Danio rerio: one gene and its partners. The protein of the gene in region 1 interacts with the protein of each later gene in a biochemical or structural test. Links are inferred from orthologs where the notes say so. Each region holds a gene or a part of one and is shown on either strand. Other genes may lie near its edges.

The links.
Region 2: the proteins of nedd4l (region 1) and ube2kb form a complex in vitro, tested with the Homo sapiens proteins (2 studies listed by BioGRID). The link is inferred for Danio rerio from reciprocal best matches to the Homo sapiens genes NEDD4L and UBE2K.
Region 3: of the proteins of nedd4l (region 1) and ndfip2, one has a biochemical effect on the other in vitro, tested with the Homo sapiens proteins (2 studies listed by BioGRID, with this or other methods). The link is inferred for Danio rerio from reciprocal best matches to the Homo sapiens genes NEDD4L and NDFIP2.

The regions. Positions count from the first base shown.
Region 1 is NC_133196.1:12,328,763-12,339,404, reverse strand, and holds the start of nedd4l (E3 ubiquitin-protein ligase NEDD4-like), read left to right. Parts: upstream 1-3,980; 5' UTR 3,981-4,300; coding exon 4,301-5,377; intron 5,378-10,212; coding exon 10,213-10,263; intron 10,264-10,642. UniProt on the Homo sapiens protein: E3 ubiquitin-protein ligase that mediates the polyubiquitination of lysine and cysteine residues on target proteins and is thereby implicated in the regulation of various signaling pathways including autophagy, innate immunity or DNA repair.
Region 2 is NC_133176.1:24,893,376-24,903,901, forward strand, and holds the start of ube2kb (ubiquitin-conjugating enzyme E2Kb (UBC1 homolog, yeast)), read left to right. Parts: upstream 1-4,216; 5' UTR 4,217-4,669; coding exon 4,670-4,732; intron 4,733-5,384; coding exon 5,385-5,478; intron 5,479-5,574; coding exon 5,575-5,633; intron 5,634-8,155; coding exon 8,156-8,238; intron 8,239-8,653; coding exon 8,654-8,753; intron 8,754-10,441; coding exon 10,442-10,526. UniProt on the Homo sapiens protein: Accepts ubiquitin from the E1 complex and catalyzes its covalent attachment to other proteins. In vitro, in the presence or in the absence of BRCA1-BARD1 E3 ubiquitin-protein ligase complex, catalyzes the synthesis of 'Lys-48'-linked polyubiquitin chains.
Region 3 is NC_133176.1:6,777,682-6,787,652, forward strand, and holds part of ndfip2 (NEDD4 family-interacting protein 2), read right to left. Parts: intron 4,770-9,971; coding exon 4,607-4,769; intron 1,086-4,606; coding exon 955-1,085; intron 1-954. UniProt on the Homo sapiens protein: Activates HECT domain-containing E3 ubiquitin-protein ligases, including ITCH, NEDD4, NEDD4L, SMURF2, WWP1 and WWP2, and consequently modulates the stability of their targets. As a result, may control many cellular processes.

The DNA of each region.
Region 1 (10,642 bases):
CTCGTGTGAGAAGGTTTTGGCTGAGATCCAATGCAGAGCTGAGCAGAATCTGAGGGTTTTCCTTATATGTCTGAGAGGGAGTGCACGTATGGTGTCCCGCTGGTTAGATACAGATATAATGAAGGATTTTCACGCTTTCTCGCGTACATGCTCTCTTGGTCTATTTTTGTCCTGTAGTTATCTCTTTAGTTTCTTCTCATTAGTACTCTACTCATTCCTATTGGCTGATTTCTTAGTTTCTCCGTTTCTTACAATCTTGCTTTTTCAGCAAGAGTGCCCATTTAAAAAAATACTATAGGATAAACACTGCTGTGTTTTTAAATCCTATTATAGTGAATTAATCTGTGGTAATTCTCTAATGCAACATATATTGTAATACAGTATAAACAAATTACCTATGTACAGTTGAAGTCAAAACTAGTCTAATATTTTCCAAATCATACCTGCCAACACTCCCGTTTTTCCCGGGAGTCTCTCGTATTTCAGACCCATCTCCCGCTCATCTCCCGTATTTTGCTATCTCCCGGAAAACTCCCGGAACTCTCTAATAATCTGTTATTAGAACTAAGTTATTAAAATTATTATGTTTAGAAATGTGTTGAAAAAAAAATATTTTTGTTAAACAGAAATTAGAAAAAAAATGTAGAGGGGGCTAATAATTCACGAAGGCTAATAATTCTGACCTCAACTGTATGTCATCGCACAATAGTGTTGTCATGAGTACTGCTTTCAGCTTTGAACTACTGTGAACTGACGGTTAATATTGCTGTTTCAGATTTTCATTATCATTAAAATCATGGTTTTAACTGTAAATCCCGTAACATTACCTAATTGCAATCGCAAAAGGCTGCTAAGTAAATGCATGTTTAGACATTATATAGTTAAAGTAAGTTGTATTCATTTCATTAAAGTGTGTCCTGCACACTATTGAGTATACGGAGTTAAAGATTCTAATCATAATATCAGTCAGACAAATCTCACAACCCATTTTTGGCTTTTAAAGCAGCTTTATGCAATATTATGAAAGATAAGGTAAACATGGATCCCTGTGAAGGAGTTTTCGAAGTGAAGGTTTAACAATAAACGCCTTGAATTATCTGTAGAAACACATTTTAGTTGATGTTTTTTCATTTTAAGATACAAATCTTAGTGCAATAAGTGTGTGAGACGTGTTTTTGAACATTTTAGGTAGTTTTAACAAAAATGTAATCATTTTTGTCACTTTAATCATACTACTCTCATACTCTATACTACAATACTATAGTTTACTGTAGTAAAAAAAATCTAGAGTATTATATTGTTAATACTACAGTATGAAGGAGCCTTCATTACCAAAGTATATACTGTATGCAGTATAATACATTTTACTGTATTATGGTTTAGTAGACTGAAGGATTTACTACAAATTACTATAGTATTTTTGCATGTGAGCGGCCTTGTCATTCCACATTCTTCTGTGCAATTTTTTTTTTGTATCTTTAAACCGCTTAACAGCTAGTTGTAATGAATTCACAGCATGGTGGTTCCCAAATTCCAGTGCTGATGAGTTCATATTTATTAGGTTCTGAACAAGAAGGAGATGTCACGGTGGCGCAGTGGGTAGCACAATCGCCTCACAGCAGGAAGGTCGCTGGTTTGAGCCCCGGCTGGGTTAGTTGGCATTTCTGTTTGGAGTGTGCATGTTCTTTCAGTGTTCGTGTTGGGTTTTCTCCAGGTGCTCCAGTTTCCCCAAGACGTGGCATAGGTGTATTGAATAAGCTAAATTGGCCGTAGTGTATGAGTGTCCAAGAGTGTTTCCCAGTGATGGGTTGCGGCTAGAAGGGCATCCGGTGAGTAAAACATATGCTGGATAAGTTTGTGGTTCATTCCGCTGTGGTGACCCCTGATTTTTAAAAGGGCTAAGCCGAAAAGAAAATGAATAAATGAATGAAGAAAATGGATTAAAAAAATGAACCAGGAAAAGATTTGACTTTTTATCATATCATATAACGTTAAAATCTTAAATTGTTTATTTGTTTTGGGGTTTTTATTGTATATTTATCAATGTAATGTTTTTTTGCAATGGAAATGGATATTGTTGCCAACATGGCATTAAATAAAACAAATATAATTTGCACAATTCTTCAAAGCAGTTTTTGTAGATTGCATTTATCTGAAAATTGCCGCCATGGAGAAACTCAACCACTCCAGAGACGTGTGGGTGAGCGAATGTGCTTTTTGAAAACCCAGCCAGGTCAAATCACCAGTTTGCCTTTATTCAATCCAATGTTTATACTATTTAGGTTATTAATGGTTTGGTTTTTAAGAAATGCATGCAAAATAAATGCTTTGGAAAGTCGTTGTTTTTGTAGGTTGCGCTGTGGAAGCCCTCTGTCGTAATTCCCAGAATGCTTGGCACTGTGAAACTAATGCTTACGGCATGATGTCTCCGTTCTTTGTCCGCAGCTCACCCACTGCAGGGCTTGTGTGCCCTCCAAAACAATGCCCCCTTTAGAAAGCGCCCACACTCTCACAATCAAGGCCTTTCTTTCAGTCGCAGTCTGTCTCGCTCACTCCATCCAATAAGATGCTGCACTGACTTCATGGTTTAGGGTAGGCTGGTGTTGCTGAAAAGACACAGTTCTAATGGTGTTGATGTGTACAAGAAGACTTATTTTATCATCTAATAGCTGAAAATCATATAAAAAGTCAGAATATCCACCTAAAATGTTCATTAAATTGTTTAACACTCATTGTCTAATTTAAATTGCATGGATGTTGTTGTTGGCTTTTATACATGCAGTATTTCATACTCCTTTGAATTAAGTTGCCTTTGCCCTCTATTTCTCCTTTGACAAATCAGGGTGTATGAAGTGTCTCATCGAATTTGAATACAGACAGTGTTGTATGCTCTCTCTGGATTTTAACATTGGCTTTAGCAAGTTGCTCAGGCTGTCAGCAGTCTGTGTCAAATGTGGTATTCTCATACCTGTGAGCAAAGGGTTTTAGATACTGATAAAAAGATTCTGATTTGGCAGATTGTGTTTGTGATAAAAAAAAATAAACACATGGGTTTTATTCAGCCCACACAGACTTTGTGAACAATGTATTATTTGCAGTAATAGCTGTATGTTATTAGTCTGATTTCCTGTCACTTTAAGGATTTCCCCCAATGAATAATTCGAGGTGGTTTTTAACCTGCACAAAGTTAAATTGCTTTGTTGACTTAGTTTAGGAGTGGTCTTGATTGTAGATTTTTTTTTCTTCAACTGCTCTCAAGACTTTGCCCCGGGCTGCATCCTGAATCATTGTTATTGTGTTGAAAGAGAGTGACTGTCTTGTGGTCTAAAACTTCCCTTAAGTGTTTTTCTTTAATGCAGACGGAACATTTCAGCCATGCCAACCCTTAAGAAGCTTGAGAAATATTGCATGTCTGTACAGAGGCCCCAACATAAAAAGCTGCAATGTTTTTCCAGCTTTTCCTGGATATTTCCTGCTAGAGAATGTCTGTAACGATAGTGGTAGACCTCTAATACCTCTTCTGTTTACCCATATATGTCTGATTGATGAAGTTCTTCGTGCTTTGATTTGTGTTTTATATGTATATAAGTATATAGGAATAAGTAAGACTAAATTCTTACTTTACCAGTTTGAGATGTGCACAGCACCTTGTCCCAACTTGGCTTGGCCCAGTGTGCCCTGTGTGTGGGATGAGCACGAAGAATTATGAGCTTGTGGAGAGTGTTTTCTGAGTCAGCTGTGATCCCTCTCTTTCTCATCCCACCCCAGGCGGTCTAGGTCCTTCTGACAGATCAGTAGCAGCTGAGAGAGTGCTGTTTGGGTCTATCCGAGAAGTGGGGGTGGGTGCCTACTGGATCACATGACTTCGGCCACCCTACCCTCACCTTTGCTTTCAAGAGCACCAGGCGTCCTTATCCAATCATGCCTGGAATGTAGCTTGCCACTTGGGCTATTTCTGCTGTTTGTCGCTATCAGACTGCAGCTTGAACAGTTTGACACATGGGGTAGTTTCTTTTTTTTTTTTTGATTTTCCTATCCCTGGTTCTTTCTAGCTTTTTCTTGCGCTCTCTCTCCTCTCTCTCTAAAGCTTGTGGGTTGAACTTTTAAGCTCCCTGGCAGAGCTTCACTGGTAGCTGTGAAACGAAACGCAGCCTCTGTCTGTGAGTAAGGGAAAGAGAGAGAAAGAGGGTGGATGAGCAAGACAGAGAGAGCAAGAGCAAAAGGGGAACAGACACACTAAACAGTGGGTGAGACAGATCCAGCAAAGGCTGGACAGAGACAGATCAGGGCGGACAGGAGAATGTCTCACCGGCTTCGGTTGTATTTTGGATCTGGTCGCAGTAACACTGCTCCAGAGTTGGAAGAGCTGAATGGGACAGTGGAGGAGGAAGGTGACATAAGCTACAACAGTACAGGAGCCATGGTGGTCCATGCACAACCACGTAACGGAGGACATGCAGAAAGTCCAGAACCAGGCACAGTTGTTGGTTCGGATGCCTCTCTAAAGCGAAGCTCTTCCATGTTCATCCCACAGCTCCAGGGTCAAGCTGAGTCACGGACAACCAAGAGCACCTCTGTTCAAATATCTCTTCAACGCACAACTGCCCCTCATGAAGATGCATTACCCTTTGATCCACCTCCAGCGTACCCCCAGGATCCAGCTCCACCATACACTGAACCTGGTGAAAGTTTGCCCTTACCTCCACCTCCAACCTACTACAAATCCTGCCAAAATGTGGAACAAACTCAAAAAGATACTGAACCTAAGAGGCAAGTCTTTTGTGTCCGGCCATGTGATGGTCAAAATGGTTATACCCATGGAAATCCTCAAGGGATCACTATTGGAGGTGTCTGTATTAGAAGAAGATCTGCAGATGGCTCGGATGTCCAGCAGTTCAGGATTATGCCATATAGCGAGGATGGGCACAATGGGCACAATTGGTCTGTCCAGCAATGCTCAGACAGAGGTCCTGGTGCACAAAGACTAATTTTTCAGCTCCAAAAGGACCAAGGACGGCAACCAAGCTCTACCTCTCAGCCTGACGTGAGTGATTTAGGCATCACAGGTTCTAAAGGTTCCCGCTTGGTGCGGTACCCCAGGATTCGACTTGAGCGGAGCACGTCACAGCCATTGCAGCCTAGAGGAGCTCCTTCACGCCTTGGATCAATGCCAAACCTTCATGCTCCTATCTCAGAAATGGAAACGGAGAGTGATTTTATTGAGAATGGTGCTCAAGGTTGCACTTTCAAAATTAGGAAGGAACAGAATTCCCAACAACCGAAGTTTAAGATTTATTTCAGCCAGGGCGGCGAGCACAGTCCCATCCTCGAAAGGAATATTAGCATTGGAAAGGCGCCTACCTGCAGCAATCCACAGGTACTGCTGAGTGTCTAAAGTTAAGTAATATTTAATCTGACCGTGAAGTGCATAGTTTTATTAACAAGCAGTTATTTAGTTGCTCAAACTATGCTGTAGGGTGTAGAAAGCTTTAAGTGTGTTTTAATAATTTGTAAGTGGCTGGAGAATAGGAAAAGCATATGAAAAAAATAGGTAGCTGGATTTTCAGTAGAAAGAGGAGGTGGGTTCAGAAATGACTTATTCACAACCCACATTCTGGGAAGTGAAAATTCCATGAAAATAGGGGCCAGGAGCAAGACGTAACCGCACTGTCTATGGTTTCCTAACAAGCATACAAACCCTTAAACTCAAGAAGTGGAAATGTATGGGGACTGGAAGCATTTTCAGACTGAACTTCATTCATAGTGGCCACTTGTCTTTTTCCCCCTCTCTTGAAGAGGAGCCTGTTCTATCTTTAGTCCCGTGTCAAGTGTTGTTGTTGGTTTTGAAAGCAGCCTTTCTCCTTTGGACTGGGTTACCGTTCATCTCTTGTGACAGCTGTTCTGTGGTGATTAAGGTCTAATATATGGTTACACATGCTGCTGTTCTTGGTATCTCAAAGCTTTTAATTTCCCAACCCTTAAGTGGTTCCAAACTTTTATGAATTTCTTTCATCAGAACTTTCTGATTTCTATTTCTTTCTAAACTATTCCTTTAAGCACTTATTTTTTCCTCATATATTTGCCACTTTTTGTCACTCCCTAGAAGTTGAGTTTTTTTACAGGCTTTGAAACTCCTTTCAGTGACTCAGAGTAGTGCTGAAAATCTGTAAGTGTGTGGGATTTGTCAATTTGTCACCAGTTGTTACTAGTACTAGAACTAGTATCTATCCTTTACAGAAGTTTAGGTTTGCGTTCGAAAGTTCTGGAATCTCTAAGACGTCCACATTTTAGAATATTCCAATGTCGAAATCAGCACTGTCACACGCATACCTTCAGCTTCTGTGGCAGCATATGTATTTCCAGTACCTGCTGAAAAGGCTTTACTGGAAATGAGTCAGTCAAGAAGCTAAATGTTCCAGCAGCAGAGTTCATCAACTGAAGTGAACCGCTCTCGCGCAGATCTGTTTACTTCATGCTGTCATGACTGCTCTTATGAACGCCTCAAGCAAGTCTTTGTTGATGCTGGATTATCTCTGAGGATAAGTCTTGTAATACATCATAACCTGTGGAGTTCTTGTTTACAAACAATACAGAATACAATACACTTCTGTTAATATTTGATTTTAACAAGATGATTAGCAGAAAACAATAGCTTTCACATAACCATATCACATTTCGGAGATCGTCCATTGCATCCATCCCCTTGTGGGAAGCATGGATTTCCAGTAGACTTGCCAGTGCTCTCAGATTAAAGGGGCACATTTTTTTTTTTGGAAATAGGCTCATTTTACAAGTCTCTTTGACATAAACAGTTGAGCTTTACCATGTTTGAGTTATTCGGCAATCTCCAGGTCTGGCAGGAGCGCTTTTAGCTTTGCTTAAAGATGTTGTTTCTAGGTTGATATAGCTGGGAAATACACTACCTGAAAATTGTTCTCAATCCCAGTTGTAAGAGTAAAGAATAATAACTTGTCTTCTAGTTGATCATTTGGAAAATTGGTAACAGTTATATTTTTTCAACACATAAACTGCAGAACACTTATTGGAACCTGGAAGGGCCCAAGATTCTTATAGAAATCCATCAAGTTTGGTGTAGGAAAAATCATGGTTTGGGGTTACATTCAGTATGGGGGCGTGCAAGAGCTGCAGAGTGGATGGCAACATTAAATGGCTGTGGTATCAAGACATTTGTGGCAAATTCTTTAGCAGGATAGCACTCCGTCTCATGCTTCAGCCTCCACATCGAAGTTCCTGAAAGCAAAGAAGGTCAAGGGGCTCCAGGATTGGCCAGCCAAGTCATCAGACATGAACATTGAGCATGTGTAGGGTAACATGGAGATGAATCCATAGAATCTTGGTAAACTCTGGGAGTCCTGCAGGAACACTTTCCTAGCCATTCCAGATGACTTTATTAGTAAGTTATTTGAGCCATTGCAAAGATGCATGGATGCAGTTGTCCCAGCTCATGGGAGCCATACACTATATTAATTCTTTTTCCACTGCACCATAACTTTATATTCTATACTGTACATTATTTCTGTTCAGTGAAAAGACTTTTGTCTAAGCAAAGTCAGACCTTACTGTCCTAATTAAATAATTAAACATCAAAGCATGATTTAATTTTGGTAAAATAAGCATAATCTAGCGGACTTTGCCTTTCATATAAGCCACTTATAAAATTAATGATCAACTCGAAGTAAAGTTATTATTTGTTGTTCCTAAAACTTATAATTCAATTGCAATGTAATAATCAAGGAACTTTGGTGCAGTATATCATAGCTGCTTGCAAAATTTGCCTTTATCCCCTAGCACACATGTAACTAAAGAAGAGAAACTCTACGAATTTTTAGGCACAATGCAAACAATCTTTTAGATTCAAAGATATATGCTAAGCTAAGCTTAAAGTGCTCCTGCCAGAACTGGAGATCAGCTGAATAGAATTAAAAATTGAACTGTTCCAAACAGTCTCACGGGTTTTAGTAAGCATGATGAGGGGATGTGGGGGCAAATCTTGCTCAAGTCTGCTGTGGCAGCTTTCTTCCAGAACTCAGGATTTAGTGGTTTAAAAAAAAACCTGTGCTAACAAGTAAGAAAAGAACAGTGAGAGAGTTTGAAATTGAGGATACATGAAAGAGTCAAGCTATGTCAGCATTTCCAATTGCTGTGGTACCTTGTTATTGTTGTCGGACTGGAGCACTGCACCTAAATATAAGGGGGCTCCAGACTTATTTTAGCTTACTTCCAGGTTTATTTTAGCATCTCTTCATGTTGCGGCTCAGTTGTCGGAAGTTTTTCCCCTCAAGTCCTATTTTCATAACCCCTGACCCTGACCTTTGCAGTCCAACTATGTGACCTCTGAAGCTTACAAAGTAATACGCTTCTTTTTTCTGTTTTCCTTCCTTTTGATCTGTTGTTTGGTTCAATTTGTTTGTGTCTCTTTTTAAACATGGCCTCTTGGTTCTAACTTCCCTGCTGTCTTGATTTCTGCTTGTTTTGAGTTTCTGTGCTTTTCGGCCTATTTAACGGCTTGAGTCGTCTGCTAACTCAGCTCCGTTCTGGACGATGACTAAGCAAATGCTTATTTTTAACACTCAGACCAATGTGTGGGAAAAAGTGCTTTCAAGGTCATATAAAGACATGATATCTTAATGCTCTCGAAGTCGCTGTGAAGTTTAAAGTGATCAGTTAAATCATTTTTACTTCTTCAGAGTATCACGTTTATTGCAGTAGGATAGGAAAATAGTTTCCTTAGCGACTAGAGCTTTTGCCAAGACACAAGGGATGCAAATCTTCAACAGCGTGACCTTTAAGACTCAAATCCCTGGTGGAGCTTTCTAGGTCATTCCTTCGTACCTTTTGGGTTAATGAATTTAGCTTCTGTTTGTGATTCACAATTGCTCTTGGTGGCTGTAACCCCATTTGACTCAACTCCTTAACATTTAATCAGAGTAATGTCTTAGACATGGTGTGTTTTCCATGATGAGGAGGGGATTGAAAATGTATTTGTGGTCCTGTTGTTCACTCACCATCAAAAATAGTGACTCGTACTTAACCTTTCCACAATAAAACGTTATTGACCATAAACTGTACCAATTCTTTTGTTTTGAGGCTAACTTTTACTTTTACGTCACTTTACTTCACTTTACCTTACTTTTATTTTACTTTAAATTTATTTTAGTATTTATTTTATTTTTATTTTGTTTGACTTTTTTCTTCATTTTAGTTTTTTTTTTTACTTTTGTTGTTTATTTTTTACTTTTTGTTTTACTTTAATTAATCTAAATTTGATTATGCTTTATTATGTTGTCATCTTTTTTTTAAATATTTTGACTTTAATTTTTATTTAGTTTTTCTTCATTTTATATCCATTTGTTAGTTTATTTTACTTATTTTTTTTACATTTATTTTACTTTTGTTTATTTTATTTCTTAAACTTTTATTTTACTTTATATTATTAATCTCAATTTTATTATACTTTATTATGATTTATAATTTTAAATTTACTTAAATGTGTACAGAAATTTATTTAGTTTTTTCTCAATTTTATTTATTTAACTTTTTATTTTTATTATTTTATTTTACTTTTATTTTGTATTTTTATTTTTACATTTATTTTTATTTTTACTTAGTTTTATTTATTGTACTTTTATGTTTATTTAGATTTTTTTTTTACTTTTATTGTACTTTATATTACAAATCTCAATTTTATTATATTTTATTACTTTTTATTTAAATATGTTTTACCTTTTGGTTTAGTTGTTAAACCAAAGTAAACCAATTTTTTATTTAATATTTAAAAAATCATTTTTACTTAATATTTAAAATAGTTTTAATGTTATTTTATTTATTTTTATTTGGTTGATTAATTTTTTGTTTTATTAATTATTATACTATATATTTTTTCTCTGTTCATTAATAGTTTTATATGTCAAATGATTTTCTGTTTGCTTGTTTAAGCTTACCAAAGAACTCAGATTAAACTCTTACTTTTGGAGTGTGTTCATTTCTAACGGCTCCGTTTGTATCGAACAATGTTATTCCAAATATAGTTCTTGTACTAACTTAATTCACAGTGTTGCATTAATGTCATCTTCAATATGAAGCATATTCATAACTACCGCATTCACTTATTCCGAGGCCTAAACCTTGTGCACCCCAGATTGGCTGTATGTACTCGTCCTTGTTGTCTTAATAAGTTTATTCCACACACAGGCTCACATTGGTCTTGATCGGCCCAAGAACGGTCATTTCAACAATGGTCAGGTAATCCACTGGTCAACCATGACCCAACTACCTGACAATCACAGCTGACAATCTCACAGTTTGGCTTTTTTTTTCGGAATTGGTGGATGGATTGAAGGCTTGTGATTGGCAGTAATACATTAATACACTCCTTCTGACTTTGACCCTCACTCATAGCCCATCTGCTGCTCCTCACTGGGTTGGTTGTCAGGTTTTTATTTTTCCCTATTTAAAGTGAAATTAACACTCCCCTTATTACTGTATTTCCAGCTTTTTCGCTCTCTTCCTTTATTTATACAGACACGTTCATTCATACTTCTTGGGTTATACAGGTGTGTGTGTGTGTGTTTATTATCCTCATCTTTGTGGTTTTTCCTTGCCAAGTCCTGCTGCTGATTTA
Region 2 (10,526 bases), on another chromosome or scaffold:
TAAATTAGCATTACGCGTCTGAAATGATTTGATGAAGTATGAGACTCAAGTACCGGTGTAATGATTACTTGATAATATTTGTTCAAGTAGAGTTACGTGCTTACCAGTAGAGATATATAAAACTCGACGTTTATTTCCGTGTTTTAGTAAGTGAAAGCACTTACGAAACTATAAACAAACAAACAAAACGAATAGTTTCAGGAAAGGATGCGTTTACTTACTTATTTAAAAAAGTAATACTACACATCTTATAGATACCTAGATAGATTCGATGCAATTGTAAATGTCTTATTTTACTACGTTAATTTGTCGTAGATACCTTGCTTCCTTTCGAGAAACTTTACACTCAACCTAGCGACAAACACTAAAAAGTTACTAACTGCTTCTAAAAGCACGCAATCAATATAATTTAAGGTAACTTTTACAAAATAAACAAAGAATAAAAAACACATTTTTAAAAGCTATTGTAAATCATAAGTAAGCATTAATTGCAATCCTATCCTCAAGGATGCAAAATTTACTTAAATTCATTAACCAAGACAAAATATTTGAACGAAGGCAACGTTAAAAAAGGCAATTATGAAATATAAGAATGATATGTTAAACTACAATGCAAATCAAACAGTATTTAGATATCTTACCAATGATTTGGACAACTCACTCGAAGAGATTTAAAAGCCTTCGCTTTAAGCAGCTCTGATATGTTTATATCGATCCTTGAGAGACTCCGGTTGGACAGACCAAACCCAGTGCAAATGATCCCTGTGTACACTGGCGTTTGGCAAAGAGCTGCACCTCCGGCTGATGTTCCGTCTGTGTTTTGATAGGATCGGCAAAGCAAAATTAGGAATGTTACTATGGCGAAGGCTTGGTTCATGAATGGTAAACACCTGCGCTGACGTTGATTTGTATCCTTCGTGGGGCGTCCAATTGCAGACGTAATTAATATTAAAGAGATAAGTCTTCTGTAGATTTAAACAAATCAACAAGGCCGACTGGCCGCAGAGAACGCCTGGTAATTAATATACATGAGATCATCCTTTAGCATAGTAATATTTACTCGTTCGTGTAGAGGAATTAACATGGAGAGCCACGTCGCTGACGTGAAATGTCGCAGACTCTGAGATCATTCTGTGAGGACGAAAAAAGGCTTACCATACAATATCAGTCTACCCAAGGCAAAAGAAGTACAATTTAAAATATTAAATGATATATACCCTCCTAATAGGTTTTTACACTTTAATTTAATTTTAAAAATTCACCATGCCTTGCAGTTCAATCATTTTGGAAAAAAATAAAGAATGTGAATGCTGTTGACTTTCATATTACAAGATATGGATTTACTAGGATTTTTTGCACAATTTGATAAATATGATCATTGTATAAGCCAAATATTTCATTCATAAATGTAGATATTTCAAAACACCTACTCATTGTATTTATAAAAGAACTTTTATAAGTCTTTACAAAATATAATTTTTAATCTTTTCGGATGCCCTGGCTAAAATAAAAACAAAAATTGCCTTAAAAATGCATATTTGTATCATATAACTTACCATAGCCGATAACTGTTATACAATGATTTCTTTTTTTATGTTTTTTCACTCCCAATTTTATTTTAGTTTGAATGTTTTTTGTAATTCACATTTTTTTTGTATTTTATTATTTTGTGTTGAGCCTTCCATGTGTGATACAATTTGTAAAGTTGAATGCCATTTTGTTGTATTTGGATTTTGTATTTCCAATAAAAAAAAATATCGTTGCTGGTTCGAGCCTTGGCTAGGTTCGTTGGTATTTCTGTGTGGAGTTTGCATGTTCTCCCTGCGTTTGCGTGGGTTTTCTCGGTTTCCCCTGCAGTTCAAAGACATGCGGTACAGGTGAATTGGGTAAGCAAAATTGTCCATGAATGTGAAAGAGTGTGTATGGATGTTTCCCAGAGATGAGTTGCAGCTGGAAGGGCATAAACTGCATATAACATGCTGGATAAGTTGGCGGTTCATTACGCTGTGTTGACCCTTGATTAATAAAGGAACTAATCTAAAAAATAAACTAATGAATGAATAAATAAAAAACAGTTGTTGTGCACAGTTGTTAAAATGTTTTCATTCTCAAGTCAAGATATTTCAGTAGATATTTTTGTCCACTTGCATGGAAAAAAATAATTTGTCAAATGCCTGTGTCAACTGCTTTGTTACCAGCATTATTCATATTTATTTTTTTATTTCCACTGTAGAAATAAAGTAGCTACTTTTATGTCTTACTAACACATTAAACCAACAATTGATGCTGACACAATATTTTATTGTTAGAAAAGGAAATTGACATTAAGCCACGTTTAGTGTGCATTGTGCAAAAACAATATTTTGGAGAAGTCTGGCATCAAAAATTAAGAGTGCTATTGAGTGATACTGCATAATAATTCAGTAAGAATGAATCAGGGACAAAAATGCCCACTATTAGTTAATAAATAATAATGGAAATTTAAAATGGGACTCCTGTGTTTTTTTATTTTTATTACCAAGATGAGTTTTATTTTAAAGGACTTAAGTTTATTTCTGATGCATTCAGCCGTACAAATCTATTTGTATAAATGTATTGTTTGACGGACCTAAATGAGGCTAAAGTTTTCTCAAATCTGAATTAACTACAGTTGATTTGACAATGTGCTTGATCTAGAGTTCTCAAAAGGCAACATGGCAGCAGTTTATATGAGAAAGCAATTGAATGCTAATTAACCATATTTTAAAACTGTATTTGCTATATATTTAATTGTCTCCCTAATCTTATTCTGTGGCTTTAATATAGAAGGGCAGTTTCAGTCTTAATCTCACCCATTGACAAGATAACACAAATATAAATGCAAAGTACACAACTGTTAAAGATAATATAAAGGTCATCGATAGAGAAAATAACATCAAGTAAAAATCTGCAGTCAATTGGCATCTGAATTGATAGATGTATGAATAATGTGATGGCCAAATGTGGTCACACATACTTTGAAGTTGAATTACATTTTACCCATTCAAGGGAATACATAATCACCACAATGAGAAGTGAACACAAACACACACAGATACGAGATACAAACAACTGTCACACAAAGCTCCAAGAAGACTTTTGTGTACCAAACATCTGTCAGATTATGCCGCATGTTAAAACATTAACATGAAATGAAAAACATTTGTATGTTGATTGGGTTTCTGACTTTAAAGGCTGTAAATGTGTTGTGTTAGATGTCATGTAAAATATATTTTTTTTTTTCATTGTTTAGGTTTTTTTTCACATTTTTATTGGATAGTGGAAGTTGAGACAGGAATGTGTGGGGAGCAATCAGCAAAGAACATCAAGCTTAGACTGATTTAGGTCACCCCAAGCTCTTACTAGCTACTGACACTGAGCATATAAAATATCTCAATTTGTATTCCGAAGTTGAAGGTCCCAGGGAGTTGTAACAACACAAGGATGTTAAAGGTTAGTTCTACCAAAAATTCTGTTAGTAATTACTTATAACAGATTTTTTGGTAGAACTAACCCTTAAGGGCACCTCAGTCTCGGGTACTGAAAGTGGAAGAGAGCTCTGTTCATTCCCTGCCACACTGACAACTGGTATGCAACTTTTCAAGCATGGTTGATTTAACTTAATTTCAAATTGTTTATCAAATGAAAGGTGAAAAACGAAAAAAAGTTCTTATTAATAGATTTATATATATATATATATATATATATATATATATATATATATATATATATATATATATATATATATATATACACACACACACACACACACACACACACACACACACACACACACACACACACACATATATATATATATAGCATACAACACACCAAACAATTGTATTATTTTTAAACACTGTATTATTCACCATAGTGTAAACTTTTTATTTGTTAATTTTAATATATATGCTTTTTGCTGGCTGTATGTGGGCGGAGTAATACACAAAAGGTAAAGAGGCTGTACTGGTGCTGATATTACTTAAATATATCACGGCTATCAGCCAATCAGATTCGAGGACCTGACAGAACTGTTGTATATATATAAAAATAACTCAGATTTAGCATGGTATTATAATGGTGGTGAATACATATTGTATGCTACAAACGATTTATCTTCATGTTCCTGTTAGAATAATCAAAAAGGACCCATGTGATTTAATACTTGGTTTAAATAGTGTAGGCCTAAATTGTTTGCAAATTCAGTGAAAGGGGTGATGATGGACCGTATGCTCTGAACGCATCACGTGGGAGTAAAACAGATGCATCCGAGCTTTAGCAGCACGACATCATGTGACAGCACCACATCATATGGGAGTGAAACTAGATGTGAACGCATTCTGGATCTGTCAAGACTGAGCTCTGCTTTTCTGCTGCATAACACATCCACCTGATTCAACAAAGAAGGACAAACGCAGTGCTGTAGTGCAGTGTTTTAGTGTTCCAGGCTCTTATTTTGTTTACCGGTGCTTTTCTGGTGCTTTCCGTACTGTTTTAGGAGAGAGAGAGGGAGGGAGAGAGAGAGGGCGAAGGAGCGCAAGAGGGGTGTGAAAGTGAAGCTCTATCATTCTTTGCGGACTGGAGGCTCAAAAACAGCGGAAGAGAGAAGGAGAGAGAGAGAAAGAGTGAGAGAGAGAGGAATCAATCAGCCATGGCAAATATCGCTGTGCAGAGGATCAAGCGAGAGTTTAAAGAAGTGCTGAAAAGCGAAGAGGTTTGCAAAACGCTACTTTACTATATTTTCCTGCCCGTTAAGAACAAACAGAAGGACTTTTGGCGATGAACACACAAAACCCAATGAGCTAGCCTAGCATGCTAAGCTAATGTTAGCATGAGCTGTCATATGATGGACTTAAGATACGGAAGTCACACTTCTGACAAATTTGCTTCTCTCGATGTAATAAAACGAAAACATAGACCTAAATGTTTAATTCATTCATGAACATGTCAGAGTATTGTTAAATTTGTGCTGGCACACATCGAGCTTAAGCCATGGAGCTATTTGACATAGTTAGCCGGCTAGCTTCACCAACACTTCTATAGTCTGCAATAACAGCACTCGCACTCAGTGTTTTAAGGTTGGTTTTCTGTTTTGAAATGCCCATTAGTGGTTTACTGATCGTGTTCCTACGTTTTTGTGTGTGTTGGTGTCAGTTAACAGGGCAGCTAGGATGTTCTTTTTTTAAGTAATGCAGCACCTTTGACAGACAGCATTTTTGGGAATCATAGACTCATATCATACTGTCTTTTAAGGGTGCTTATTATGTTCAGAAGACAGCTTCATAACTTGACTATACCGGTTGTTTCTTTGTTCAAGCAACTATGGTACTCCTTACTAAATACATTTTTGTTTTGCTTTTTAACAGACGAGTAAAAATCAAATAAAAGTAGATCTGGTGGATGAAAACTTCACAGAGTTAAAGGGAGAAATAGCAGGACCGCCAGACACACCATATGAAGGTAATGAGAGCCTTTACATGATGTTTCTTTAATGTTTGCTTGGAGATTAATGCTGGAGATAAGATTATAACAGGCTAACGTTTTTTTTTCTCACAGGGGGAAGATATCAACTAGAAATCAAGATCCCTGAGACGTATCCATTTAATCCACCCAAGGTAATTCAACAAGTATTCTTTCTGCTGTTTTTACATATAATATTGCCAAAATATTTTACATAGACATACTATTAAGAAAAAGGAATGTTATTAATATAAAAATAAGTAGATAATAGTGTAACATGGAATTAAAATAACACGATGAATGAATGAAAGGGGATACAAATGTTATTTATCCAAAATAAATATAAAAATATATTTTTTTATTTTGCGATATATATATATATATATATATATATATATATATATATATATATATTGCAATATGAATACAATTTTATCAATGACTTAATAACTCAATTTTTAATCTTAGATCAACTGGAATGACTCTGCAGTGGGAGTGCATCTCTATAAAATCTAAAATTAATAAATAAATAAACAATTGTTGTGATCTTTGCTATTTGCAGTGCATTTCTGTATTTGCATATGTTGTGAGTATTTTCATACATGACAATCTGTAAATGCAGTCAAGACAAAGATGTTATTCAAATAAAGGGGTTTGTTGTTTCCCAGGTCTAACAGTATTTAAGTACAGTAACTGAATGATAAAAATAAAAACCATTCAATAAGGTCACAAATAGTTCAAGTTCTTATACCCAAATGCTTTTAAAAACATTAAACAATCACAGGCGTCAAAAACATATGCACATGATGAACTATAATACAAACTCATCATTGCCTATCATGCGATGTGACTATTGCAAATGATCACATTGCGAAATCGATGCTAAAGCGATATATTGTGCAGCCCTATTATGAAGTTAAAAGTTCCATAACATTTGCATCTGGATGATCTTTGTTTATATTCATTAAGGCAGTAGTGGGTTAGTAATGTTCAGTAATCGACTGTACTGCTGTAATTTAGTTGTCTGGATTTGATTAGCATGCAAAGCCTTTTAAAGACATCGGGTTAAAGAGTTTAAGTATTTCACTTAAGTTCAATATTGATTCACATTTAGAATTAAGAGAGAAAGCTAAAAGTAATACTTTGTGAACTAACCAAACTAGACATGAGAAGAAGGATCACATGAACAACTGTTAAAGTGTTCAAGTAAATCTCTCTTCTCTTTGTCTTTAAGTCTAGAGGGGTCATTGCTAGTTTGGAGGAAAAAAAATAAAATAAAAAAAAAAAAGATCCAGATTTTATATTATTGACATTGATTATTTTTTTCCTTTGCGCCAGGCTATGATTAGTCAGAGGATATCAGACATGTTTGAAATTTTAAACAGATTTTAGAACATATACATTATCATTTGTCTTCAAGTAATGATATGAATGTTTCGTCTGCTGTTTATTATGTTCCAAATAAAATGAAAGTTTATTAACGTGTAATTCTCAGTCGTTTGATCTGCAATGCCCCAACAATTGATTAATAAACCAGTAAGTAACAGTTAAAAAAAAAGTTGCAGCTGAACCTAATCTTGCACTTACTCTTGGTAACATTTAAATGCCTTCTTGTATTTGAATATAAATTGGCAATCACAAAGTACTTACACATTTCAATTTATTTCGATATGAAAGCAGATATCCAATGTGTGACTCCTGTTCTGTACATTTTTTTTAACTGCTGGGAAACCTTCTAGAAGATATTTAAATAGACAGAAATCTTTAGTCAAGGATGAGACACATTTTGAAGTCTGATTCAAATTACATGCAGTGTTTTTACATGCATAGAAAGCATATTAAAATGTTAGCTTTAATATTAATAATAATCTTTTAATAAATGTTGCAATAATGCCCCAAAGGGTGGCACGGTGGCTCTGTGGTTAGCACTGTCACCTCACAGCAAGAAGGTCACTGGTTCGGGTCCCGGCTGGGCCAGTTGGCATTTCTGTGTGCAGTTTGTATGTTCTCTCTGTGTTGGTGTGGGTTTCTTCCGGGTGCTCCGAATTCCTTTATAGTCCAAAGACATGCGTGATAGGTGAATTTAATAAGCTAAATTGGCCATGGTGTATAAGAGTGTGTGTCAATGAGAATGTATGGGTGTTTCCCAGTACTGGGTTGGGGCGACATGCTCTGCATAAAACATATGCTGGAGTACTTGGCAGTTCAATCCCCTGTGATGACCTCTGAAATAGACTAAGCTGAAGGAAAATGAATGAATAATGCATATATTAGGTTAAGAATAAAAGCTTATCAACTACATTTTGTGGTATTTTAAATTATTAAAAACGTCATCCTAATACATGAGTTGGTAAAAGAAAACTGGCAAAGATTTACAATTTTTTTTTTATATAGAGGCAACAAATGATTCCTGTTTTAAATGTTATAGACAAGATGTTTTTGTTTCTGAACATTTGTTACATTGAAAGACGTGATGAATGGAGAAAAAGGAAAGAATATTAATTGTACTCATTTTTTACTCTTGAGTCTCTTCAGTCCCACCTCAATTTCAGATTATTGTTCATTGATGACAATTCTGAGTGCATTAACAAGGCAAAGAAGATCATTCAGAATTTAATATCAACTCGCAGCAAATAAATATATCATAAATTAAAATGAGTTTTGTCATCTTTTTCAGGTGCGGTTTATTACTAAGATCTGGCATCCCAATATAAGTTCTGTTACCGGGGCGATATGTTTGGACATTTTAAAAGACCAGTGGTGAGTGCTTCATTATCATGACTCATCATTTAATTTAATGGTTCAACTAAAAATGAAAACTGATTCAAAGTTAACTCCAAATTAAGTAGTTCCTAACTTTAATGGGTTTCTGTTTTCTGTTGAACACAAAATACAATATCATGAAAATGTTGAAAACCTGTTGACATCCATAGTTGCAAAAACAAATACTAGGGATGTCAGTGGTTACTGGTTTCCATTATTCTTCCAAATATCTTGAATTGTGTTCAACAGAAAAAGGAATGTCCATCAGCTTTTAAACAAGTGGAGGCTGAGTGAATGATAGCAGCATTTTCATTTTGGGTGAACGAACCCTTCAATAATTTTGACACTGCTCTTTCTTTCTCTCCTTCCTGTTCCCTTTTCAAATGATTGTGTCTTCATATCCTGTGCACAGGGCTGCTGCTATGACTCTGCGAACAGTTCTGCTCTCACTACAGGCTCTGTTAGCTGCAGCAGAGCCCGATGATCCACAGGACGCTGTGGTAGCCAATCAGGTACAGTCAAATATGCACTGTCAGTGGCTGCGTTCGAAATCACATACTACTCGAGTAGGTTATTCATCTGAATTTACCTCATGATAGTTAGAAAGGTACGTTTTAAATAGTACAATGCGTGAGTATTATGAATGATTAGAATCATAACTAAAACCTTAATATGTGAAATAAAAAAACATTATCTTTTAACTTTTATTGAATGTGTAAAATGCAAATCTAATTAGATTCACTTTATTTGGTAAACAAAGCAAGTCTCTCGTATATCTACTAAAAGACTGAAAATATGCACTGTATAAAAATCAAGTGAATATTTTCATATTAGTCAATTTTACTGTTATTGATTAAAAACTGAATATAGATTTACAAACATTTACACAAGTAAATAAACAATTAATGATGGGCTAAAAGTCTGCGGAAATAAACAGAATTAATGATGGGCTAAAAACCTGCGGAATTTTGCGCGCACAGATTTCGTGTGGGCCTACACATGACCTACCTGCGTCAGTTGATTTGCTTTGTCCATTCATTAATTTCTCTTACGTGTGGCATCATGGGATAGCGTTGCATCTATTTGATGTGCACTACAGCACTAAGCAATAAGTACTTTTCTTGGGAAGAAGTTTGTTTTGTTTCTAGTCCAAATATCTACATTGCACACACTGAGGAAGGCATTGTGCCGAAACGTTGAATCAAACGTAGAATGTAAAAATAAAAACAGTACGAAGCAATTACTTGATAAGTGCGAATCATTTCCTTTTTGAATAATAGCATTGACAAGATTGATGCACCAAAGAAGTTTCTTTTAAAAATGAGCATGTAGGCCAAACTTCATTAGTCCAAATATCTAAAAATTTCGAAATCACAAAGCATTTTCTAGACAAGCAAAGCATATTGTATTGTCCTGTTTTCCCTTTTGACATAAGATTATTTTGCTTAGCCCACTGGCAGATTATTTAACTTTTTTTTTTACCTTAATTTTGACATATTTCTTAAAACAAGACAGTATGTTTTGCTTGTTTAGAAAATGCTTCTTGATTTTTAAAACTTTTTGGATATTTCGACTGGAAACAAAACAAAGCCGGAGTAGGTAGTAGGTCCTCTGGGTAGGCATGGGCCAGTATAAGATTCTGACGGTATAATAACCTTGGATAAAAATATTAAGGTTTTCATGCTGTTGTGTTTATTATGTTCTTTATATTTCTTCTACTTATAGTTTCACATTTGAAAAGGCATCTTTGGATAATTTTCTTATCTTTGGATATAAATAAGGGTCCATAGCATGCTTGGATGTTGGCGTATAAATGATTTGGTTTTCAGATGTGGGCTGACCAGTAGCTTTTGATGTGGATGTTCCTTTTCTGCTGGAGATACTGTTCCCCTAAAATACTAAATAAAATGGCAGTAAAAGCACTTAACTTGTATATAACGTAAGAATGGTATAACAGAAAATTTAAGCGAATTTAAAAATTTTTTAAATTATTTTTTTTTTAATCTTGAAAACGGTTATTGTCCCATGGCTACCTCCGTGTATTTCTTCACGTATTACTTATTTAGACACACTGCTATATCACAGGGAAGTATGCGATTTCGGATGCAGCCCGTGTCTCTGTCTAAATGAGAATATTGCATGACAATGTGGCTTTGTAAACCTTTTAACAACGTCACTGTTGTCTTTTTTTTTTTTGCAGTATAAGCAGAATCCAGAAATGTTCAAACAAACTGCTCGTCTCTGGTCTCACGTTTACGCTGGTGCTCCTGTGTCCAGTCCAGAGT
Region 3 (9,971 bases), on another chromosome or scaffold:
GCTGTTTTCCTTTCAATCAGCTTAGAGCTTTGTGACAAGTAGCCATGTAATAAGTGGGATAAAGTACATTCAGGTGGTTGTTTTTGCAAAATAAAGCCCTTCAGGCTTATACAACAGCCGATAACCTGTCAGGCTTTATTTTGCAATAACACCCAGCTGGATGTACTTTTTCCTTACTTATAACATGGCTGTTTGGAATACTCACTTCTGATTGGTCAGTTGAGACATTCCAAGGTATGTTTATCTTAGTTAACAACCGCTGAATAACACAGCCTCATCTGGGAACTTCGAATCACCATGACTGTCTGTGAATGGTCCTACCTTCACATACATATACTAACATTTACTTATATATGTATTTTCCTCTCTGTCACTACCCTGTTTCTGACTGTTTGGTGTAGTCTTTTAAATGAATAATACATCGTTTAGTCAATTCCCCATTCAACTGATTCTGTTTCCGTCAGATTTGCATTTTTGACTGTTTGGCGCCATCTTGTAGCTGAGTAATGTGCAGGTTAGTTTAAGCTCCATCAGCTCTATTCAGCTGCTTTCCTTTCTGTCAGCTTTGCATTTAATTAGAGAATTAATAAACTATTTTGGCTCACTACAATATTTTGTGTACAATTTTTATATTTTGTGGCAAGTAGCAGTGTAATAAACTGGATAAAGTACATTGAGGATAGTTGTTTTCAAAGAATAAAGGCCTTCAGTCAACAAAAAGCCGATAATCAAGTAAAGTTTTATTCTGCGCTAACAACCTCCTAGATGTACTTTAGCTCTAACCGAATGCTTGTCTATTTTTAATAATACTGAAGATAAAAATCCCCATCTCAATACTGGTTAAAATCTATTATTTTCTAAAATGGTTGAGTCCCAGTGGAAAGACGTGTGAATCGAGGGCTTGGTATTTGTTTCTGCAGAGCATGTAGTGTTGTAGGCGGATGAGAAACTCACTCGTGGAATGACCTCCACCGCGGATGCAGCCATGGCTGCTGCTTTAGCCTTCTCTGCCTCATCGTAAGTGGGCAGAGACGTGGCAATGCTGTATGGTGGAGGAACGGGAAAGTCCCCTGCAAATGTGCTCTCTGAAAAACAATTGAGAAAACATAGGTCAGCCATTCGTCACACATTTCTAGTTTCGAGTCTTCAAAGGAGCATCACAATCACTATTACTATTGTTCATTTCTAGAGATGTGAGAAAAATTCCTTAATGCAAAAAATTGTGATGCAGTGATCATAAGCAGTAGGTTTTGCCTTGTGCTTGGTAAAAAAAAAAAAAATAATAATAATAATAATAATATTTGGCACACTTATATTGAGAATATCCTCAGAATATCTTTAAATTATTTATTCATTCATTCATTTTCTTTTCTGCCGAGTTCCTTTATTAATTCTTTTTACCTGTTATAGTGAACAAGGCATGAATCTGATTTGAGTAAATCGGAATCCATGTGATTTGTTCCTGCTTACAAGTACATGGGCCATATCCGATCTGTGCCACATGACAGAAGAAAAAAAAAAAAAACATTCGGAATTGAGTCACTTGAACAGTGCAGTGTAAATTCAGCCAAATTGTCCCACTTTAAGTAGTGAATTGAAAATCTGCCTAATGGAAACATGACAATTCGGCAAAAATGTCCTTACATCATTTTTTTTTTTGCCATTTGCAGAGCATATGGCGGATGCAAGTCACATGATCATTCTTTATAAATAGTTGATCTTTCACAAGCAGACATGATGCAGCATGCATCAAAAAAGGCCCTACTGCATTGCACAACACACAAAAAAAAGGTTGATCTGTTTATACGGAAATTCTGAATCAGTTCCTGTGAAATTGCGAAAATATAACCACTTAGAAATACATCATACATGACCGCTCGCAAGTTTAAGGGACTTTCCCTGCCATTAAAGCTTGGATAAAACACCTACAGTACATCTCTTTTGAATAAATATATGGCTGTGATTAACCGAATTACTTCTAGTGAGAGGAAAAACTTTAGTTTCTTTCAATGGAATCAAGTAAGTTTACATGGACACTAATACTTTGATTTTAATACAATAATCAGATTAAGGGTATACCATGTAAACACTCCACGGCCCAATCCCAATTCTACCCCTTAGCCCTTCCCCTTACCCCTCATTTTGCGCGTGCCCTTGAAGGGGTAGTGGTGTCCCAATTCTCTTTAGCTTGAAGGCGTAGGGCTAAGGGCAAGGGGTATACACCTCTTTAAACGAAGACTTTTCAGAACCACACTTGAAAAAAGTAAGAAAAATTTCCCAGAATACCCCAGCAACAGCTGCACCCGGAAGTAATTAGATCCACAAATTAGTATTTTTTGTCATTATTACTAATTTTTACAACAAACAAACACATTTTATTATATTCATAACCTCGTTCGTGTTTTACCGTCATACTTAAAAAATTATAATAATAATAATAATAAAAAATAATAATAATAAAATAAAAAAATTAAATTAAAAAATAAAAAAAAAAATTTAAAAAATTGCATAATTTTAGCGATCTGCAATCCCTAATAATAACTCCTGTACAGCAGTCCCACAACATTCTGACACTCGATGACACTGGAATACCCTGTCAAAAAAGACTAGTGGCTGTCAATAAGCTGTTTACAGTGTCTGCTATAATGTTAAGGCTGTTTTGTGTGTTTACATTGATGAGCATGGCCACTGTGTTAAATGCACAATATTACGATCTTATTGCCTCATTAGATCATTATGATAACATAATATATACCTTCAGTGATTTCCTGAAGATAAATACCAAAAAATAACACAACTGGAATCACTCCAGCAGTCGCGATCGTCTGTTCTCATATGAAGCAAGAAATCGCGAGGACATTTGATGCCGTGTGCTGGTGTTGTAGTATTGCACCAATTCTTAGGGGTAACTTTTGAAGCCCTTCCCCTTAACCCTCTGTTGTAAGGGCCAAGGGAAAGAGGAAGGGGTACAAAAATAGAATTGGGATTGGGCCTACATGTCTTAATCCGACTAAAGTCATAATGGAACTAAGCAGAAATCGAATTAAGGTCATCAAAAGTTTGACTCTTAATCACAGTATTGTCTTAAGCCCCGGTCAGATCACATGAGTTTGTCATGATTTCGGCACGATTTCCTTGATGTAGGGAGTCGAAAAAAACAAATGGGTGTTGTGACACAAGATTCAATCCTTTCTTCTCGTTTAATATGGCATAGTTCACGACAACTGATACCACCTCTCAGGACACCATCCCAGAAAGTCTAGAATGTTTCATTTTCTTTCCTGTTGGTCACAGTTCAGTCACGTGGGTGACAATGGCCAATAGGAGCACATAATTTTACAGTTAGATGAACGGTGATGCCTTCATTCAGCGGGTCAAGTAATCAAAAAATAGGCTGCATATTTAGCCTAGTAATGGGTGGCTGAAGTATATAGCGGACTGGTAGATAACTGACCAACAAAAACTACATTAAAATTAAGATACAAATTATAACAAACAAAACTTGTTTAAAATCAAATATTCTTTCCAAGAAAAATTTACAAATTATTCTCTTTTTCTTTTTTTGTGCCCATCCACTACTGAACTGTGTTGGTGGATGATTTGTTTCGCTCTTGGAAAATAAGGATTTAATGCTCCACTGTAACTGTTGTATCACAAACCTCTGTCAATCATTCATTCATTTCCTTGTCGGCTTATTCCCTTTATTAATCTGGGGTCGCCACAACGGAATGAACCACCAACTTATCCAGCAAGTTTTTATGCAGCGGATGCCCTTCCAGCTGCAACCCATCTCTGGGAAACATCCACACATACACACACACACTCATACACTACGGACAATTTAGCCTAACCAATTCACCTGTACCGCATGTCTTTGGACTGAGGGGGAAACCGGAGTACCCGGAGGAAACCCACGCGAACGCAGGGAGAACATGCAAACTCCACACAGATACGCCAACTGAGCCGAGGATCGACCCAGCGACCTTCTTGCTGTGAGGCGAACGTGCTACCCACTGCGTCACCACCTCTGTCATATATTTGCAAATTTTTTTTAATATATCATTATTTTGTCATAAGCATCTGATTTTTCCTCGGTGCTGATGTGCTTTCATTTTCTCCGTCTCATTCGTGGCAAGTTCAGGTAAGGGAGTGTTTAATAAGCAGCCCATGGCTGAAAAATACACATTTAGATTTAAATGAAAATATCTTAATATTAAAAAGAAAATATATGTTTGACCCTATCAATGTCATAACAAATGCCTTTAAATAATGCAGCCTAGTTGTCAGCAAGCATCAGTGTTTACAGAGATTGAAATAAGATAAAAAAAAAATATTGAAATTGAGGTAAGAAATATCGTTATTGCAACACTTGTGACTGCTTTAGGAAATAACGCTCATCGTAGACGTCCCGGAATAACTGATCGTGAAGGAACATGTAGTCTGGCACAGTTGATTCCCATGACAAATCAAAATTTTATCAAGACAATAACCACATAATCTGACTTTCATAACCGACAATAAAAATCGTGTGATCTGGCCGAGGGTTTTAATGATCAATCAGATCAGATCAAATGAGGAAATGATCAATCTTTTTGGATCTCCATACCTGGTGCAGCTGTTGCTCCAAGTGCCACGCTTGCATATGGAGGAGGTGGAGCTTCTGTATCCACTGCTAGGTTGCTGATTCCCTCCAAAGCGCCAACGGCCTGGGTGGATGTGGACGGTTCAGCACTGGCGGCCCCTTCAGAGGAGTCATCCTCATTGTGCAACTGAGGAGGCATACAAAACACAACTATTCAGACTGAAGAAAGACCACTTTGAGTTGTTCTAGTGCACCGTTATTTCAGATGCACCCAATTCTTTACACATCATATCACATAACTAAAGGCCACAGTGTTTTTAATATTCAGAGGAGTCATCCTCACTGTGCAACTGAGGAAGAACACAAACACAACTATTAAAGAAAGACGACATTAAGAGTTGTTCAAGTGCACCATTATGCTTTTATTTCCATGAAATGATCTATCATGTAGTGTGTAACGTTACTGTTTGTGGATGTAAAACAAAGGACTGCAAAGTTTGAAGATCAGTTCAGATAAATGAAGTTATTGAGTCATCAATGGTTCCAGTCTTCTTGGACACACCATTATGTTCAACCCAGTAATACGTTCCTCAGCCTACATTTTAACAGAAGATAAAATACATTGCTATGGGTTTGTTTTGCTGCATGTTTTAGATGACAAATCCACCAGAGGGCACTGTATACATTTTTGTATTATTATTATTATTATTATTATTATTATTATTATTATTTGTATTATTATTATTATTATTATTATGTTACTTATTAGAACTGAATTTAGAAATAGTTTTAAAACAAATCGCTGCGCCTTGGACCTTGCGCCTGGATCTTCAAAATAGAGTTCAAAGCCACAGTTTCCATCTAGAGCTCCTTCATGGGACTCCACACTTGTAAACACTCACTCCATCGGGCTCGTGCGGCTCTCACCTCCACCCATACTCATCAGCGCTACCAAGCCAATCGATCACGGAGCTTGTGCTACGAGTTGTTGCGTTGTGTAGTTTTATTTTTTGAGAGGTACGTGTCAACGTTGGTGACCGCCACTGTAAGGGCTATGCGTCCACATGTAGGTTGTGCGAATATATATGCGTGCACTTGACGAAGGAGTATACATCAGCCTTTAATTCCAGTGCGTTAAGCTCTCTCATCCACCAAAGATATAGGCCCAGTTTCACAAACAGGGCTTAGATTAAGCCAGGACTAGGCCTAAGTTAAATAAGGCTATTTAAGCCACATTTATAAAAATGGCCTTAGAAAAATATATCACTGGTGTTCACCTGGAGACAAAAAAAATGACACTGACGTATTTTAAGACATCTTACCGCAAGTTTTTCTTTGAGTTGAGACCGATGAAACATGCAATTTAATCTTGACTAGCCTTAAACCTTGTTTGTGAAACCGGGGGATAGAGTTCTTACTGATATAGAGTAACTTAGAGTGATATAGAGATTCAGGCCTTGTTCACTATAACAGATATAGAGTGCTTTATTAACTTCTTTCCTAGCTCAAACAGCAACATTACACACTAAATGCAAGTCAAAAGTGTAAAAGCATAACAGGAACCCCTTAAGATTGAGGCCCAATCCCCATTCGATTTTTTTTTTTGGAAAGCTAAAAAGTTGTGAAAACTCTTAATGCCAATAAATACGTATTTGTAGACCTCCTGACTCTCGCATGCAGCCATGTTGCCTTTGTAAATGGAGTATTCTGGGAAATTTTCGTACCTCTTGGTCTTTAATGTGGTCCTGGAAAATCTGTTTCAAGGGCTACCTAGCCCTTCCCCTTAGTCCTACACCTTCAAGCTAAATAGAATTGGGACAGCCCTTCACCTGACCGCGTAAAACGAGGGGTAAAAGTAAGGGGAAGGGCTAATGGGTAGAATTGGTATTGGGCCTAAGTCCTTGTGTCTCATGTTTACTAAATAGACACCACAATGTACTGAATGAAGGGAGGAGGATATCATCTAACACTGCAAGAACACGTCAACAAGTCGAGTCAACAAGTCGGTCTCCTGGGTGGCCTAACTTCACCGCCCTCGCCCTTCAGAGAACAAAACAATCAGTAAAGCTAAACTTCAAGAAAACAGGCACTGAATAAAACATGGAGAAGGCTTAAACCTTAATCCGCATGAAGTGACCTGAAAATGTCTTTCCGAGCATTGCGGTCTCTGGTTATTATGGCAGTTCAAGATTGCAGGGACGCATTTGGCACATCGGAGATCAGTATGATGCACAGCTGTCTGCCAACAGCGAGATTCACGCAGTAACAGGAGAGCAACGGTAATGCAAACCACGGGACGGAGGCACAAGACTGATCCTTCAGCAGCACCTGTTTTATGTGTCGTCAGCATCGTCCAAACGAGTGGACACAACCTGATGAAATGAGTCTGATTCACAGACTCAATCTGTTATAAAGACCATGTTACACACATCTACAACAAAAGAAACGTGCGGCAATGGCCAGAAAATGACTACAACTTTTGTTTACAGCTCATTGACTATCCTACAGAGGGTTCAGACTAGAGTGGGTACTTCCAACAACAACTAATGAAATGATGACCAATGGCTTGCCAGTTAAGCAGATCAAGTTGGGACACAATCTTTCACAACACCACACCACCACCTGATAGTATCTGAGGCCGCCTGACAGGGCTGAGAGCCACAGAACTCTCTGCATGCATAGGTCAATGCTCAAGGTTCAGCGGCTAGCCTTGATGAAATGTGAATAGAAATGGGATTAGAGATTCAATGAAGTCTGCATGTGAATAACGACACGGTTATCATCACGTGCGCTTTCTTGCTCTGCATTGAAGACAACCAGTAGACAACCTTCATGAGCATTACATAAATACATAAACAGCCATCGAGAAGACAAGAATCTCTAGTGGTGAGCACTGAAATACTTTAAAACTGGCCAGACTAGAGATTAATAATATATCTTATCTCTGTTTTGACTAAAACAGCACAGAATCAGTGTTCACCAAAAATACTAAAATAAGAAAAGCACTGACTTGCTGCCAGTAGAATTAGCTTCAAGTAAACATTTACTAACATGGATTAAAGAAGCAATAAGAAGGATGCATACTCATATACACTAGATATCGCATAGGGACCCTGAGCATGCGTCAATAGCGCCGCCACATTGGTACAGTGCTCCCAGGAGAAGTGTCATTCAACCGCACTAGTCAAGACAGTGTTATTACGTCAAGATGCGGGACTTTAGAGCAGTCTACGGGTGTAGTAACGAGCAAACAAAGAAAGCATAACACAAAGGCAGAACATTTCATCGGTACGGTTTAGTTTTTTTACGTTTTTGTATGTTCTGAACTTTTGTGCTAAACAGGTAACAATATTGATGATAATACAGTCACTTACTGCATTCACCATAAGGCAAAGTAGCTCCAACTCGCACTAAACACTCAGCACACGCTAGTTTTGTTGAATAAAATCAGCAAACTGTGCAAAAGAAATATGATAACGAGATGCTGCGGTGCCAGAAACTTGTATGATCGGCTAGTGAAAGAGTCGTTCATAACGGAGATTCATTCACAAACGAATCACTCCCTCCGTCAGTATGAGAAGTGAAAGCAGGAGAGGAGCTGTGTTTCAGGACATGATTAGATCAAATTTAACATGGAGGGTGGATAGTACATTTCCATACACACAAACACAAGCTTTTTGTCAGGAATGCCAGTGCGATCACTGATCCATCAATGTAGAAAAGTGATGAAAAATTATAAATTTTCGTAATTAAAAAGAAAATTGCATTCTAACGTCCAGGAAAACTCCCGATCATAGATATATGTGTATATCTCTGGCTTTGGATGGCCACAGTCCTCCACTGTACCTTGGTCCCGCATTCATTTCAAAGCAGCGCTACCCTGTTCCAAAATGGCGGCTCTATTGACGCATTCCTTCCAATAGACAACAACAGGGTAGGCGACATCTAATGTATATATCTATGATGCATACTAAGACCATGTCGATTATTGATTACATTACAGATTAGGGCTGGCATATGGACAAAATATTATACTACTGTATTTTAAGCTGGATTGAAATATACCTTTACTTTTTTCTTGCAAAGCCTGCAGATAGTCGCATATTCTGGTTTACCATTTGCACCTGCCACACGATTTGAAACCAAAATACTGCTGAACAATGCATGAAGATCCTTTCTTAGGTATATCCTGTCTGGCTGTATCACCACCTGGTATGGAAATAGCACCAGCAGCAATCGCAAAGGCCTACATAGGATTGTGCGAACTGCTGGACTTCCCTCCCTCCAGGACATCTACACCAGGCGGTGCATGAGGAAAGCCAAGAGAATTATTAGTGACTCCAGCCACCCAAGCCATAGACTTTTCTCTCGGCTACCCTCAGGCAGATGGTTCCGCAGCATCCGATCACGCACCAGCCAGCTGAAGGAAAGCTTCTTCCCTCAGACTATCAGGCTGATGAACACTTAACACACCACACACAGACTCTTCCATAACCCTCACTGCACACCATCAATATGTGGCATGCACTGCACTTGAACCAATTCATACTTGAAACAATACTGCCTACAACAATGTGGACGCCTATTCATTGTACATATCGCTGTCAATTTCACATTATCGCTGTTTTTGTACTGTTTGTATTTTGCACTTACTGTATTTTGGACTGTCGTTGTATTTGCTGTGTTTTGTACTGTCTGGAGCCAGCACCTAAGCTTTTCACTCATCACAGCACACGTGCTGCTTATGATGTGACAATAAAAGTGATTTGATTTTGATTTTAAGGCTGTCCTTCTCCATTTTTATCATGAAGAAATTGATGTTGGATGCTAGCATCAACGGCGGGGTAGACATTATCGAAAATCATGACGTTTTTAAAGACAATAACTGATTTTTTTTTTTTTGCTATATCACTCAGCCCTACTCTATATTTAGTTTTTTTGCTTTTATATTTGGTTTTTCATCTTCTTTTTTTTCTTGTTCAATGTTGTCCAATAGAACAATCTTGATATTAATGAAAATAAAATTAAAATACAGTGAATGTAACTAAGTAGGCAATACTACACGTGCAAAAATAAATATACATTTTAAGAATAGAACATTTTGACATTTCTATTTTTTAAAGATGAAATTAAATTCACTAAATCAGTGTTTCTCAACCACGTTCCTGGAGGACCACCACATTTACTGTCTCCGTAACCAAACACCCCGGATTCAGATCATCATCTCATTAACAGAGACTGAAAGACCTGTAATGGATGTGACAGACAAAGGAGACATCCAAAACATGCAGTGCTGGTGGTCCTTCAGGAACGTGGTTGAGAAACACTGCACTAAATAACTCTGATTACTATGTTACAACAGTCATTTTACATTCTTTATTATTGGATG